Elephas maximus indicus: one gene and its partner. The protein of the gene in region 1 purifies or fractionates together with the protein of each later gene. This does not show direct contact. Links are inferred from orthologs where the notes say so. Each region holds a gene or a part of one and is shown in the gene's direction. Other genes may lie near its edges.

The links.
Region 2: the proteins of PSMB2 (region 1) and FBXO7 purify together in Homo sapiens (affinity purification with mass spectrometry; 3 studies listed by BioGRID and IntAct, counting the BioPlex papers as one, with this or other methods). This does not show direct contact. The link is inferred for Elephas maximus indicus from reciprocal best matches to the Homo sapiens genes PSMB2 and FBXO7.

Annotation. Positions count from the first base shown.
Region 1 is NC_064821.1:76,947,609-76,955,739, reverse strand, and holds the start of PSMB2 (proteasome subunit beta type-2), read left to right. Parts: upstream 1-5,072; 5' UTR 5,073-5,215; coding exon 5,216-5,306; intron 5,307-8,131. UniProt on the Homo sapiens protein: Non-catalytic component of the 20S core proteasome complex involved in the proteolytic degradation of most intracellular proteins. This complex plays numerous essential roles within the cell by associating with different regulatory particles.
Region 2 is NC_064822.1:175,190,968-175,198,109, forward strand, and holds the start of FBXO7 (F-box only protein 7), read left to right. Parts: upstream 1-4,108; 5' UTR 4,109-4,351; coding exon 4,352-4,473; intron 4,474-4,753; exon of another isoform or gene 4,754-4,831; coding exon of another isoform or gene 4,832-4,868; intron 4,869-7,142. UniProt on the Homo sapiens protein: Substrate recognition component of a SCF (SKP1-CUL1-F-box protein) E3 ubiquitin-protein ligase complex which mediates the ubiquitination and subsequent proteasomal degradation of target proteins and plays a role in several biological processes such as cell cycle, cell proliferation, or maintenance of chromosome stability.

The DNA of each region.
Region 1 (8,131 bases):
ATTATAAACCCCACAAAACACTGTTATTATTTAAAGAGCTAGTTATTTTTAAAGATACTTATATAATAAGAAACAAGGTCTTCATATTTACCTACTTAGTCACCATTTCCAGAACTCTTCATTTTTTTTTGTAGGTCTAGGTTTCCATGTGGTGTAATTTCTTTCTACTTGAAGAACTTTAATATTTCTTATATGTAGGTCTTTCAGTGATGAATTTTTCAGATTTGTATGACTGAAAAAGTCTGTTGAAAAAGAAAATAGAATTTTAAGTTAATTTTTTTTTCAGTACTTTAAAGATGTTTTCCACTGTCTTCTGGGTTTTACTGTTTCTCACAAGAAGTTTGATGTTATTCATATCTTTGATCCCCTGTAAATGAAGTGGCTTTTTTCTCTGGCTGCTTTTAGGATTTTCTCTTTAATATTGATTTTAAGTAATTTGTAATGTGTCTCAGTGTAGTTTTCTTTGTGTTTCCTGTGCTTGGGGTTCGTTTAACTTCTTGGATCTATGGGTTTCTATTTTTCATTCAATTTGGAAACTTTTTTCTCATTATTAAATTTTTTTGTCTTCCTCCCTCCTTCGGGAACTTCAATTACACATATATTAGGCTACTTGACCTCGACCCACATTTCATTGGTGTTCTGCTCATTTTTTCCAGTCGTGTTCCATTTTAGATATTTTCTATGTGGTATTTCTTATACGGAAACCCTGGTGGCATAGTGGTTAAGTGCTACGGCTGCTAACCAAAGGGTTGGCAGTTCAAATCCGCCAGGCGCTCCTTGGAAACTCTAATGGGCAGTCCTACTCTGTCCTGTAGGGTCGCTATGAGTCGGAATCGACTCAACGGCACTAGGTTTGGTTTGGTTTTGGTTATTTCTTATATACCCTAGTGGTTAAGAATGGGGGCAGTCTCAGGAGCTTCCATTTGGCCTTTCCTACTACAATGTCTTTTGCTGTAAAGGTCAAGGATTTTATGTGACAGTTCTGCCAACTGTTAACTATGTCCATTCTAATTATACACTTAAGAATCAGGGAAGTGACCATTGGGTGAATCAACCCAATGGATCCACTGCGATATGGACTGGACTAGGACTTTATTTCTTACCTGGCCCCCAATAAGAGGGGAGCCACGATGGCACTTTGGGTCCTCAGGTATAACAAGACCCAGGTCTTGTACCCAACAGCTCTTGAAAAATCTGGGCATGCCCTTTCCCCCAGCATATGGCTACCTGAATAAATTACCATAAACCCCCTCAGGGAATGACTGAGGGAATCACTGCTATATACACTTGTCTTGGTATTGTAGAGTCCTTCCACCTGGGGAACCAGCACATTTTTAGTCAACAGATTCTGGGTCTGAAACTCACTCAGGTCTAGAAACTTGGCAAGGGATTGTAACTTTCTATTGGGGTGGCTGGCCTCCATCCTCTCATCTGTTCTTAAGTAGATATACTAAGTAATACCCTTGTTGGCTGCCCATCTACCTTACCTCTAGGAAAACTATGTTCTTTGTGCCATTTCCATAGGTTTCTGCAGGTCAAAGTCCCCTGGCTGACATTCTGACCTTGATGATCATTGAGGTAATTACACCTGTCTTGCTTCTGATGGCTAAGTGCTGGCCACTGCTATTTTAGGATCCTGTCATTTCCACTGGTAATAGGGAGACCCATTCTGTAAAGCATTTCCTACTGTCAGATCCACCTGACAGATGGCAGCCACTACTGAGTTTTTCAATGATACTAGTTTCCCCTTACTTGTATTTTCTTTAAATGTGTCTTCCCAAAGCATTTGATTAGCTAGTGCATTTTCTGAACTTACTGAGTAGACCAATTTTAGCCTGCCCACTTTAGTGCCTTTTACTCCTTCCTCCACAATTTCCGATAGACATTCTAGCATCTCTGAACCTTCACAGACTTTTTGCTAGTTTTATGACTTAGTTATTCTAAGACTTAAATTGAAGTGGGGTTCTCCCTGATTTTTTAGTGAGACATAGCACATGTTAGGTCTTAAAAACCCACTTTCTTCTATACTAACACAAAGTTAGGACAGCTGTAGTGTTACTTAGCTAGAAGAAATTTAAAAAGAGTCCTGGGGAGAAAGACGGAAGAGTCAGCTTAAAAGATCTCTGGGTCTTTTTTTTTTTAAGATTGTGTATCTTCCAATTCAGAATTCTGCAACTATTGTGAATCAATGAATGGCTCAATGGATGAATATTGGTATGTACAAAGGAAAAAGCCTGGAAGGATATAGATCTCTGGTGGGAGGGGAGTATTTAACTTCTCACTCTTGTATTATGTGTGTGTGTGTCTGTGTATACACATATACTATACAACTGTGTACTTTTTGTAATTAAAACACACACATAAACACACACAACGAGAGAGAGAGGGAGCAAGAGAGGCTTCTTCCCCAGTAGTGTTTAAGAAAAGGATCTTTATAGGATAATGGATGCAGCTGTGTTCTAGTAGGGTGGTTGACTTAATAACGTCACTTGCCCATGGCACCCATCTCATGATAGATGGGCTGCCCCACACTCCTCAGGCTCTATGTTCCTTTATGGGCAGAGAACTGGAAGAAACATTCAAAAGGAAGTAGGGTCTACACATTTCTGCAGAGGTAAATGAACTGCATAGTTGTGTTTCGAGATGTAATTGCAACTTTTTTTTTCATTTCTTAGTTAGTATGAAAACTCTGTTGGAGATGACAGAAACTAGTCATAGAATATGTCAGTTTCCCAGAACAGCTGCAAGATATAATGGTTCCAAGATATAAAGTTTTTTTTTTAACCTATTAAAAATTATGAATACATGAGTGTTGCAAAACATTCAAATAATATAGATGTGCATAAAATACAAAGTGAAAATCCTCCCTTCAAATCACACTCCCCAGAGGTAACCACTGCACACAATTTGACATGTTTATTTCCAGATCTTTTTCTAATTCTATTTAATATTTTTTACAAAATGGCATCATGCTACATATTGGAATGCATTTTCACTTTCACTTAACATATTTTGGGCCATGTGGAATATATTAATATATTTAGGTTCATTTCATTCTTTTTAGTGGCTGCATAATATTCCACTGCATGAGTGTACCATAATTTATATAACAGTTCCTCTACTTATGGACATGTATGTTGGTTCCTTTTTTTTTTTTTTTTTTTTGCTGTTTCAATGCTGCAATGGATATCTCTTAACAAATATTTTGGTATTTATGCAAATATTTCTTTAGGACACATTTAAAAGCTTATATACACTTACATTTTAATGTATATTATCAAATTGTTCTCTGTAAAAGGGCCATGACAATTCATAATCTCACTGGTGATTTTAAATTTCTCATTTTCCTAATCTCCATCAAGGCTAAGGATCTCTTCATGTTTCTTGGCCATTTGTATGGCTTCTTTTGCGAACTGCATGTTCTTAACTTTGGCCATTTAAAAATTATGTTCTTTCCACTATTGATTTGTAGAAACTTTTTAAAGTTACAGATGTTAACTACTTCATATATTGAAAAAATTATCATTTTATACTTATCTTTGAACAGTATGGTGACTTTCACCACACCAAAACAAAAAACCAAACCAACTGCCATCGAGTCGATTTCGACTCATAGCAACCCTATAGGACAGAGCAGAGCTGCCCCATAGGGTTTCCAAGGAGTGCCTGGTGGATTTGAACTGCTGACCTTTTGGTTAGCAGCTGTAGTTCTTAACCACTACACCACTAGGGTTTCCTTTTCATGCCACTGAAACTTGCAATTTTATATAGTCATACCTGCCAGTCTTTTTCTATATGGGGGTCCCTGGGTGGCACAAATGGTTTTGTGCTCAGCTGCTAACCAAAAGGTTGGTGGTTTGAGTCCACCCAAAGGCTCCTCCAAAGAAAGGCCTAGTGATCTACTTCCAAAAATCAGTCACTGAAAACACTATGGAACCCAGTTCTATTCTGATACACATGGGTCAGAATGAACTTAAGGGCAACTGGTTTGGTTTTGGTTCTGTCCCCCCTCTTCCCCCCCCAACTTGCTTCTGGGTTTCCTGTCATAAGCACGTGTCCCTTCCGAAGACTATCAAAATATTCTATTTTTTTCCCGCTGTTTTTATGATTCACCTTCATGCTGCGTCTTTAATAAAAACAAACAAACAAAAAAAACCCTCAAACCCGTTGTCGTCGATTCGGATTCATAGCGGCCCTACAGCACAGGGTAGAGCTGCCCCACAGGGTTTCCAGGGAGCACCTGGTGGATTCGACCTGCCAACCTTTTTTTTTTTTTTTTTTAATAATTTTCATTGTGCTTTAAGTGAAAGTTTACAAATCAACTCAGTCTCTCACACAAAAATTTATATACACCTTGCTATACACTCCCAATTACTCTCTCCCTAATGAGACAGCCTGCTCTCTCCCTCCACTCTCTCTTTTCGTGTCCTTTTCGCCAGCTTCTAACCCCCTCCACCCTCTCATCTCCCCTCCAGGCAGGAGATGCCAACATAGTCTCAAGAATCCACCTGATCCAAGAAGGTCGCTCCTCACCAGAATCCCTCTCCAACCCATTGTCCAGTCCAATCCATGTCTGAAGAGTTGGCTTTGGGAAGAGTTCCTGTCCTGGGCCAACAGAAGGTCTGGGGGACATGACCACCAGGGTCCTTCTAGTGTCAGACCATTAAGTCTGGTCTTAACGAGAATTTGGGGTCTGCATCCCGTCGACCTGCCAACCTTTCGATTAGCAGCCATGGCTCTTAACCACTACTCCACCAAGGTTTCAGTAGGGAATCCTCTCACTTTTTCTCCAATTCGTCTTTCGGGTAAGAGATTTTTGGAAAGGTTTTACCGGGTAACAAGGGGAAACGGCCACCTGGGACCATCGCTTTAGGGCACCCATAAGTGGTTGGCACTTCATATATGGTGTGTAACTTCCCCCTCAGGGGGGTTACGGATAAGGAAATAGGGCGTTGCACAAAGTAACTTACAGAGCCATTACTGGAAGAGACACCGTCAGGGCAAGAGGCAAACGCAGATTTAACACACCTAGCACCACACTCGCTTTCCGACCTCTCGCGACAGTTGTACGTCATCCGAGAGCGCCGGTGACCGGGGCGGTAGCGCGGCCTACGTCGCGTGAAGCTGTGACCTGCTGTGCTGTCTCACCGGTGAGGCCGAGAAGCCAGCGAGACGTGCGTTCTGTAGAACCTGCAGCCTCCGGCCTCCCGCCACTATGGAGTACCTCATAGGCATCCAGGGCCCCGACTACGTCCTGGTCGCCTCCGACCGGGTGGCCGCCAGCAATATTGTCCAGATGAAGGACGGTGAGAGGAAGCAGGGGAGGCCCGGCCGGGCCTGGGTGTTGGGGCAGAGAAGGGAGTTCGGGGGCGGGGGGTTGGGGTACCAGGGACGTCTGGAAGTTAGGACCCGCCCTGGCCTGCCATCCACTTATCTTTTAGAGCTGAGGAGACAGACAAGCTTACGACCTTGCTAGCCATTCCTCCCAGGGCTCCTAGGTCAGTGCTCAGTGCACTGGCCTTCGCTAAATACTTGCTAGGAGAGAGTTGCCTAAGAGAGTTTAGTTTGTAAGTGCTTAAACCGCTGCCCAGCACTAGGCTCCCCTGGTAAGTTTCCTGTTGTCGCTACCAGTGAGATTAGTTTCGTGGAATCCTGGGGAGAGTGAGACTGTGGGACCAGAAGCTTAGTATTTTCTTTTCTTCCGCTGTCTCTTCCCTTGGCTCAGCTCTTATGCTCCTTTTCTAGTTTTCCTGGGCACTGGCTGCCAAGTTTTCTTTATGTTTTAGTAGTTAATAGAATTAGAAGACACGATTCCAGCCCCCGTCGCTTTCTTGCTTTGTGACTTTGTACAAGTTACTTTACAGTGCCCAGATTTTCTAATCCGTAAAATCAGATTAGTATTACCAGCCTCACAAGATTGCTGTGAGGATTGAGTGAATGAGGTAAATTACGTGCGAACGCCCAGGAGAGTGATAAATACTTGGTAGTAATTTATAGGTGCTGGACCGGGCAGCGTTTCGTCGGTTGTACATAGCGTCGCTTGAGTCGCAATCGAGTCTATAACATCCAACAACAATACTACTACTAAGCACTTATTATGTATGTGCTTAAAATGATTTACTAATTCGTTTAACCTTTTGAGATAAGCACTATTACATCCCCACTTTACAGATGTTAGTTCTGAGGCACAGAGGTTAAGAAACTTGCCCAAGGTCACGAATGGCAGAACCAGGGTTCAAACTTATGTGGTGTGACTCCAGACCTTTTGCCCATATTTGCTGTACTATACTGTCTCCTACAGTGTATACTCAAATACTTCAAAAAAGATTTTGGTCGTTGACATGAGAAATCTAAGTGTGTGTTTTCATGACTGATCATAGACGTGCTACTGTTGAAAAAGCATTTTGCTTTGTCTCAGAGATGATTTAATTGTTGGTTTGACAGACAGGTTTTGGATACCTATGTGTACGTTACAGTACTAGGTGCTGGGGGAATGCAAAGAAGAGTGAGAAACAACCCCTATCCTAAGATTATTAGGTGTATAATCTTAAAAGAAGTTACAGTTTAATAAGGGATTCGGATATGTGTACCAATAATTACATGAAGTGTTATATGAAAACTACAATCAAACTTCTCAGGTAATGCAGAGCAAGAAGAGATTGTGCTCAGGTAATCCAGAGGAAAAAGATTCTTTCTGGTTGTAGAGATTTAGAGAAAACTTTGAGAGCAGCTGACAGTTCATCTTGGGTTTAAAGAAAGAAAAATTATTAAATCCAAGGTTTCTTAAAGTGTATGTATGAACAAAGGCAAAAAATGTGTTCACAGCTGCTGCCTCAGCAGGCATCTGATTGTCAGGCTGGAAAGGTAGAATGACCTCTGATGGACTTCACTTGTGTGTTCTAGTCTTCCTGAAGAAGAGAGTCCTGAAAGTGGTTTATTAAACATCTATTGTATGGATTGTTCCTCAAGTGAAATTACTTAATGAAATTAGATGATTAGTTTGTAGAAGTTCTGTTTGTAAACTAGTCTTTCAAAGGAGTAAATTTGTTTTGTTTGAGAATAAATTTGTCCGTTATTTTGAATACTGAGCCTTTTGATAAGCAAATTATTTAGAAGCTGTTTTTAAGTAGAATAACCAAGTCAGTATCTTTACAAATCTTCTGTTTTATCATGACAATGTATGTGAAATAATTTTGAAAAGTAAAATGTGCTTTAAGCCTATTTGTGTACAACATATTAGACATAGATTAGTCCAAAACATTAAGGAAACAAGGAAATGCATATTACAAGGTGATTTTGTATGATAAAAGAAGTATCACTAGTCAGTATTAGTTTTTAAATTAATGATTTCAGCAGTGATTCCTAAGGGCATTCAGAGAAAGGAAAGATCAATGTGGTTTAGAAGAAAGATGAATTTGAGTTAGTTCTTGAAAAATGATAGGAAATAATTGCAGTCAACTCTGATTTTCCCCATGGTTTTTTCTGGCATAAACACTTTTATGATGGGAGCTTTGGAATTGTATAAGGACTTTTTCCTACTATTCATTTCCTGAAGAAACTGTGTGGGTAGGCAAGAATGCTGAAAACAGTAGCCTTTTGGGGCTTATTTTCTCCAACTATAAAATGAGAAAAATACTTGCCATTCGTTTTTCATTTTGTCGCTTTGCAAAATATTTTGATACTATAGAGAAGGCATTTCCCAAAGATTGCTTATCAAAATTAGGTGGTACAACTCTCAGTTTGGTTGTATGCTGCGTTTCATATTTCTTGGCTTATGTAAAATTATTTTTAAAATCAGAGTACACCAACCCACACAGAACTCTTTTCTTTTCTGAATTCCGATACCATGTATAATCTGAACTACATTGTCTAACACTTAGGTATGATAATATTGTACATGTATAGGATTCTCTGGAAACCCAGGTGGTGTAGTAGTTAAGTGCTATGGCTGCTAATCAAGAGGTCAGCAGTTCGAATCTGCCAGGTGCTCCTTGGAAACTCTATGGGCCAGTTCTACTGTCCTATAGGGTCGCTATGAGTCGGAATCAACTCAACGGCAGCGGGTTTTGTTTTTGGTTTATAGGATTCATTACCATTTTCCTCACCTGTGAGTTAGGCAAGGTTAAGTGAT
Region 2 (7,142 bases), on another chromosome or scaffold:
GTTTCTAAATTGAAAATAATTTAAACATTTTATCACAATCTACTGTGTTATGGGTTACTGTTTTGTCCATCACTTTGTGAACTTCTCACGGTGGGCCTTGAGTCTAGAAAATGAGTAAGTCAGATGTCCAAATTTCATACTGCTGAGTCTCACTGCTTGGGAAGTTAAGGAGTGAATCTCAGCCCATCACCCCTTATAGAGTTTATCTGTTGTGTATGTTGTCCTTTCACATAAGCTCTAGATGATTAATTTCCTTCGCACAAAGTCCTAAGAACCATTGGGTTCATTCATTAATTCTTTCCTTCATTTAGAACGCATTTATTGAGCATCTTCCAAGCCCAGATGCTGTCTCAGGGCTGAGATTCAGTCTCCAATCTCAGGCACCTACAATGTATTGAGTAGCAAGTAATCCCAACAATTACAACACAGCGTTCTCAATAGCCCATAAGTCTTCAGCTCTGTAACTTACTGCTACCCTGAATATGCATGCCATTTAACCTTTCCCCACCTTTGTATACTCTTCTCTCTCTATTGCTCAATCCTGCTTTTGTTAAGCTTGGGAAATTCCTAGTTATACTTTAAAATGCAGTTTAAGTGTCACTCCCAGTTAATCAACTCCATATCATGTACATACTCCTGCTGTTAGCACTTATCACATGCACCACAAATGTTTATTTATTTATATTTATTTATGGCATAATATGTACAGGTGTCCGATTCAAAATGGCCAATACCAGTCCATCCCAGTTCACTAATGCCTAGAATATCGATGTTTATGCGTTCCATTTCATTCATCGTCAAAAAGAACATTTCAAGATCTATCCTGAAGTACAATGCTGTCAGTGATAGGATAATATCCATACACCTACAAGGAAGACCCGTTCACAGGACTGTTATTCAAATATACGCACCAACCACTAGAGACAAAGATGAAGAAATAGAAGATTTTTATCAGCTGCTGCAGTCTGAAATTGATCGAACATGCAATCAAGATGCATTGATAATTACTGGTGATTTTAATGCGAAAGTTGGAAACAAAGAAGGAGGATCAGTAGTTGGAAAATATGGCCTTGAGGACAGAAATGATGCTGGAGATTGAATGACAGAATTTTGCAAGACCAACAACTTCTTCATTGCAAATACCTTCTTTCACCAACATAAACGGCGACTGTACACATGGACCTTGCCAGATGGAACACACAGAAATCAAAATGACTACATCTGTGGAAAGAGACGATGAAAAAGCTCAATATCGTCAGTCAGAACAAGGCTGGGGCCGACTGTGGAACAGACCATCAATTGCTCATATGCAAGTTCAAGCTGAAACTAAAGAAAATCAGAGCAAGTCCACGATAGGCAAAATACGACTTTGAGTATATCCCACCTGAATTTAGAGACCATCTGAAGAATTGATTTGATGCACTGAACAACTGTGACTGAGGACCAGACAAGTTGTGGAATGACATCAAGGAAATTATACATGAAGAAAGCTACAGGTCATTGAGAAGATAGGAAAGAAAGAAAAGACCAAGGCGGATGTCAGAGGAGACTCTGAAACTTGCTCTTGAATGTTGAGCAGCTAAAGCAAAAGGAAGAAGTGATGAAGTAAAAGAACTGAACAGAAGATTTCAAAGGGTGGCTTGAGAAGACAAAGTAAAGTATTATAATAACGTGTGCAAAGAGCTGGAAATGGAAAACCGAAAGGGAAGAACACGCTCGGTGTTTCTCAAGCTGAAAGAACTGAAGAAGAAATTCAAGCCTTGAGTTGCAATAGTGAAGGATTCCATGGGGAAAATATTAAACGACATGGGAAGCATCAAAAGAAGATGGAAGGAATACACAGAGTCATTATACCAAAAAGAATTAGTCGATGTTCAACCATTTCAAGAGGTAGCACATGATCAGGAACTGATGGTACTGAAGGAAGAAGTCCAAGCTGCTCTGAAGGCATTGGTGAAAAACAAGGCTCCAGGAATTGATGGAATATCAGTTGAGATGTTTCAACAAACAGATGCAGCGCTGGAGGTGGCCACTCGTCTATACCAAGAAATATGGAAGACAGCTTCCTGGCCAACTGACTGGAACAGATCCATATTTATGCCTATTCCCAAGAAAGGTGATCCAACTGAATGTGGAAATTATAGAACAATATCATTAATATCCCAGGCAAGCAAAATTTTTTGCTGAAGATCATTCAAAAGCAGCTGTAGCAGTATATCGACAGGGAACTGCCAGAAATTGAGGCCAGTTTCAGAAGAGGACGTGGAACCAGGGATGTCATTGCTGATGTCAGATGGATCCTGGCTGAAAGCAGAGAATACCAGAAGGATGCTTACTTGTGTTTTATTGACTATGCAAAGGCATTCGATTGTGTGGATCATAACAAATTATGGATAACATTGCGACAAATGGGAATTCCAGAACACTTAATTGTGCTCATGAGGAACCTTTACTTAGATCAAGAGGCAGTTGTTGGGACAGAAAAAGGGGATACTGATTGGTTTAAAGTCAGGAAGGGTGTGCGTCAGGGTTGTATTCTTTCACCAGACCTATTTAATCTGTATGCTGAGCAAATAATCCGAGAAGCTGGACTATATGAAGAACAGGGCATCAGGATTGGAGGAAGACTCACTAACAACCTGAGTTATGCAGATGACACAACCTTGCTTGCTGAAAGTGAAGAGGACTTGAAGCACTTACTGATGAAGATCAAAGACCACAGCCTTCAGTATGAATTACACCTCAACATAAAGAAAACAAAAACCCTCACAACTGCACCAATGAACAACATCATGATAAACGGAGAAAAGGTTGAAGTTGTCAAGGATTTCATTTTACTTGGATCCACAATCAACAGCCATGGAAGCAGAAGTCAAGAAATCAAAAGACACATTGCATTGGGTAAATCTGCTGCAAAGGACCTCTTTAAAGTGTTGACGAGCAAAAATGTCACCTTGAAGACTAAGGTGGGCCTGACCCAAGCCATGGTATTTTCATATCGCATCATATGCATGTGAAAGCTGGACAATGAATAAGGAAGACCAAGAACTGATGCCTTTGAATTGTGGTGTTGGCGAAGAATATTGAATATACCATGGACTGTCAGGAGAACGAACAAAGCTGTCCTGGAAGAAGTGCGGCCAGAATGCTCCTTAGAGGCAAGGATGGCGAGACTGCGTCTTACATACTTTGGACATGTTGTCAGGAGGGATCAGTCCCTGGAGAAGGACATCATGCTTGGCAAAGTACAGGGTCAGCGGAAAAGAGGAGACTCTCAACGAGGTGGACTGACACAGTGGCTGCAACAATGGGCTCAAGGATAACAAGGATTGTAAGGATGGTGCAGGACTGGGCAGTGTTTCGTTCTGTTGTGCACAGGGGTCGCTATGAGTCGGAATCGACTCCAGGGCACCTACAAACAACAACAACAACGTACGCGTGGTGAACAAGATAGACTTGATCCTTGATCTTACAGGCAGGAGCTTCGCCTGTGGTAGGCGAACAATTAGTAACTGTTACAATAACAATTAGTTAATTTTCAATTAAAAAGAAAAATTCAGATTTTGATGAACTCTAAGAAGGAAACTGCGTGATGTAACACAGTAACTGGGGAGACCAATTATGACAATACTCAGTGGTTTGCCATACATTATTCCCCTTAATTCTTTTTGAACACAGCCCTGCGGAAGCACAAAAGGAGGAAGTTACCGGAGCCGGGGTTCAATCTAAGGGCTTCTCAGAGCAGGTGCCACTAGAACTGGGCGTTGATGAAGGAACAGTCGTTCGCCACGCAGGAAATGGGTAAGAACTAGGTACCCATAAGCCATGGGGCGTGGTGAGTTGTACGGTCCGCAGCATCCCTTTCAGCAATAACGTTCTTCCCAGCACACCTTTCAGACGTCAGAAAGCAGCCTCTGCGGAAGAGCCGGGGTACCAGCGCACCCCGACGTCTGGGCGCCTGCGCAGCGCGCTCCTCCTTCCGCGCCGTCAGCTTGGACCGCGGCGCCCGGGCGGCCCGGAAGCCGCGCGCTCCCAGGTAGCGGCGTAGCGCGCCGAGTCATCGATCGGAAGGTCCTTTGCAGCTGGGCTCGGCGCTGGTCGCCAGCTGCTCGCTCTGCGGGTCGGCTCTAGGGGGCGCCCTTATAGGAGGGACAGAGCGCCCTTGTTTTAGGGACTAGCGAGCTAGGCCTAGGCCGCCGTGGCGGCGACTTTTACCCGTTACACATCAGCACTTTAACAACACCGGTAGTTGTCGCTCCTGGGTCTCCGCTTGAGGCGGGAGCTGCTGGGCCCCGCCGTCGCCACTGTCGCCGCCCCCGGGTCCGAGCCCCTGGGTACCCCCGCCGCGGCCATGAAGCTTCGGGTCCGGCTTCAGAAGCGGACCTGGCCGCTGGAGATGTCGGAAGCGGAGCCGACGCTGGGGCAGCTGCGCGCGCATCTGGGCCAGGCCTTGTTGCCCACTTGGGGGTACAGGTACGCGGGGGCGGCTGGGGGTGCAGCCCGGCCGCGGGCGTTGGGGGTGTACGGTAGGAGAAGTGAGGGTGTAAGTCGGGTGTTTGCGTGCGACTGTGCGCTCTCGGGAGCGTGGGTCCCCATGTGGGGCGCCGTGAGGTTGGGGTCGCCTGTTGGCACCGGCGTCACTGAGCGCTCCGCCAGGGTGCAGAGACGCCCCGGGCGTCACGTGAGGGCTCTGCGTTCTGGGGGCGTCGCCGTTCGGGAGCGCTTCTGGGGCTGGAACTAGGGCGGGCTCGGGGCCAGTGTCCGGGTGGCGCGTCGGGTTGGGAGTGGGGAGCTGCGGCTGCTTTTGCGGTTGTCCCAGCTGCGAGGACCCATGGCGCAGCGTCCCGGGGGCTCCGATCCCCCGCAGGGTAAGTAACCGACTCCGATTTTATGGCAAACGAAACCACGGATAGGATAGCACGCAGAACTCACAGGATTTTTAAATTTAAAGTTGGAACTGATGAGCTTGGCATGGCTTAAACATTTCCAGACTCTAGGGGTTTAAGTTCACTTTCTGCACCTGTTCAATATTTCAGTGAAAGGTTTGGGAATACTAGAAGTTACAAACCTGCTCTCCACCCGAAGCCACCCTTAACTGGTGCGGCTGCTGTCAGGCTGCAGTCATTTTAAGACTACCTTGAGTTTCTGTGCCAGGCCCCTTGGTGAGCACTTGCACTTACCTCGCTGCAAATTTTCACAAAGTACACTCTGTAGAGGTGCTTGACATCATTGTATTGTCCTGGGCAATAAAGTGTTAAAACTTAGGGCCTTATAATGACCCTGGGGAACTTGGCAGTGTTAGGACAGTGAAGTTGAGAGGTAAAGCGTTAAATTCTGTTAATTTATGGGGCTACTGATGAGGCTGTTTTGTTTCCATAGAAGGTGTTTTCTGGGACAATAATCTGGGAATAGAGGACAAAATAAAGGTGATTCTTTTCAAATATTGAGGTAATGAACTTGAAATTTGAGCTAAGACAAAATAAAGTCGTTCCCTGGGGGACGTTTTAGGTGAATTTTTCAAGAGACAACCTTGTTAATTGAAATGGTTCCTTTCATAAGACTGTTGTAAGCTTCCAATTTGTTTTTAGGGAGTTCCGTAAAGTGGGGCCATATTATGATCTTCTCACTCTTCCCTTTTTAAGGTTAAGACATTATTACATTAAAAGTAAGCATGTTTTCCTCCCAATTTTTTTTTTTTAAAAAGAGGTATGAACATAATTTCTCTTCAGTTATGTGCCCATCATTATTTTCTTTGCCTTAAACCTAAGTGTTTTGCTTACTGCCCTCATTTCAAAATTAACTTCTTTTCAAGGCATTTTCATATGTATATATATTTTTATTATTAGTTTTTAATTAGGCAGGATAATCTTAAAAGAATGTGAAACCCAATATGACTTGTTTGCCCCAATATGACTCTTATTTGCCAAGAGCTGAAGTTCATTTCTCTTTCAGGTTTGTTTTTTACAGTGGAGGCTGATTTACAGAAAGGAATTTAAGTTGCACCTTACAAAAGTGAATTCATCCTTCTGAAAGTCTGTTCATTTTCTAGTAAATGGGTAGTTTTAAAAGGTGTACATAGCACATTGTTATTTTAAAGTGTCTTTACTGAGCGAGTGGATTTGGGATTGTCATAAAAGTATTTTGAAAAAGCTTGGGAGTTTCTAGGATTTCATTTTTTGATGAACTTAAAATTTAAGTTCAGAAAACAGAACAGTTTCAGAAAACAACCCTTTTAAACCCTCTTCCTAGAAAACTGCATTTTTTGTTTTAGAAATAGCTCTTCCCTTTTTTAAAGGGTGAAGAGGCCGATGTTCTTTATTAAGCAGACAGTTCTTTGCCTTTTCTACAAATAGATATTTGTACTTGATACTGTTAAAAAAAAAAAAAACCTTTTGCTGTGACAAATGATCCAGAAACAAATATAGTTCACTTGAGATGTTTTTCCTTTTTCTGCCAAAGCTGGGATGGTGTTTTTTGGGCAGCTGGCAGAGTTTCAACATTTTATCAAAAACACTTTGAAAACAGAAGCAGAGCTACTTTTTTTTTGAGAAGCAGGGGTCGTTTCTATTTCAGTAATTTCTCTACCAAAGACTTTTTAATTGGTGAGAAAAAAATGTACTTACAGTCAAAAGGAAAACAAATGAATTGTTTTGAGCACTTTGGAAAGTGCAGCATTGTAAATAAGAAAATACAATGTGATTGTCAAAGGACTTTATCCTTTGTTAATGTCTCAAAAAGTTAATGAAATCAGCATTCCTGAGTGTAAATGGTCTTACAAAACCTTTTACAATGGTTTTGTTAATTCCTCACCACCCTGTGATGAAAAGATGGTTATCCTTACAAAGTCAGATAATCTGTGATGCAGAAACAATGCAAATGCGTTGCCTAAGGTTTATTTGAGCTCTTAATTGGTTTAGCAGTGAGTTTTTGGTTTTCTGCTGTCTTCTGTATAAAAGACAACACGTTCTCAGTAGGAGGGTTGCAACTTGTCATCATCTGGTCGAGGGGATACATTTGTACTCTGTCAACTACATACGCTCGTCTAACTTTTATGGTTATGAATATGCATGAAGGACATGGGTCTAGGTTTTGGAACCAAAGTATGCTAGCTGTCCTGCATGGACGTCGGACAGGCAACCCTG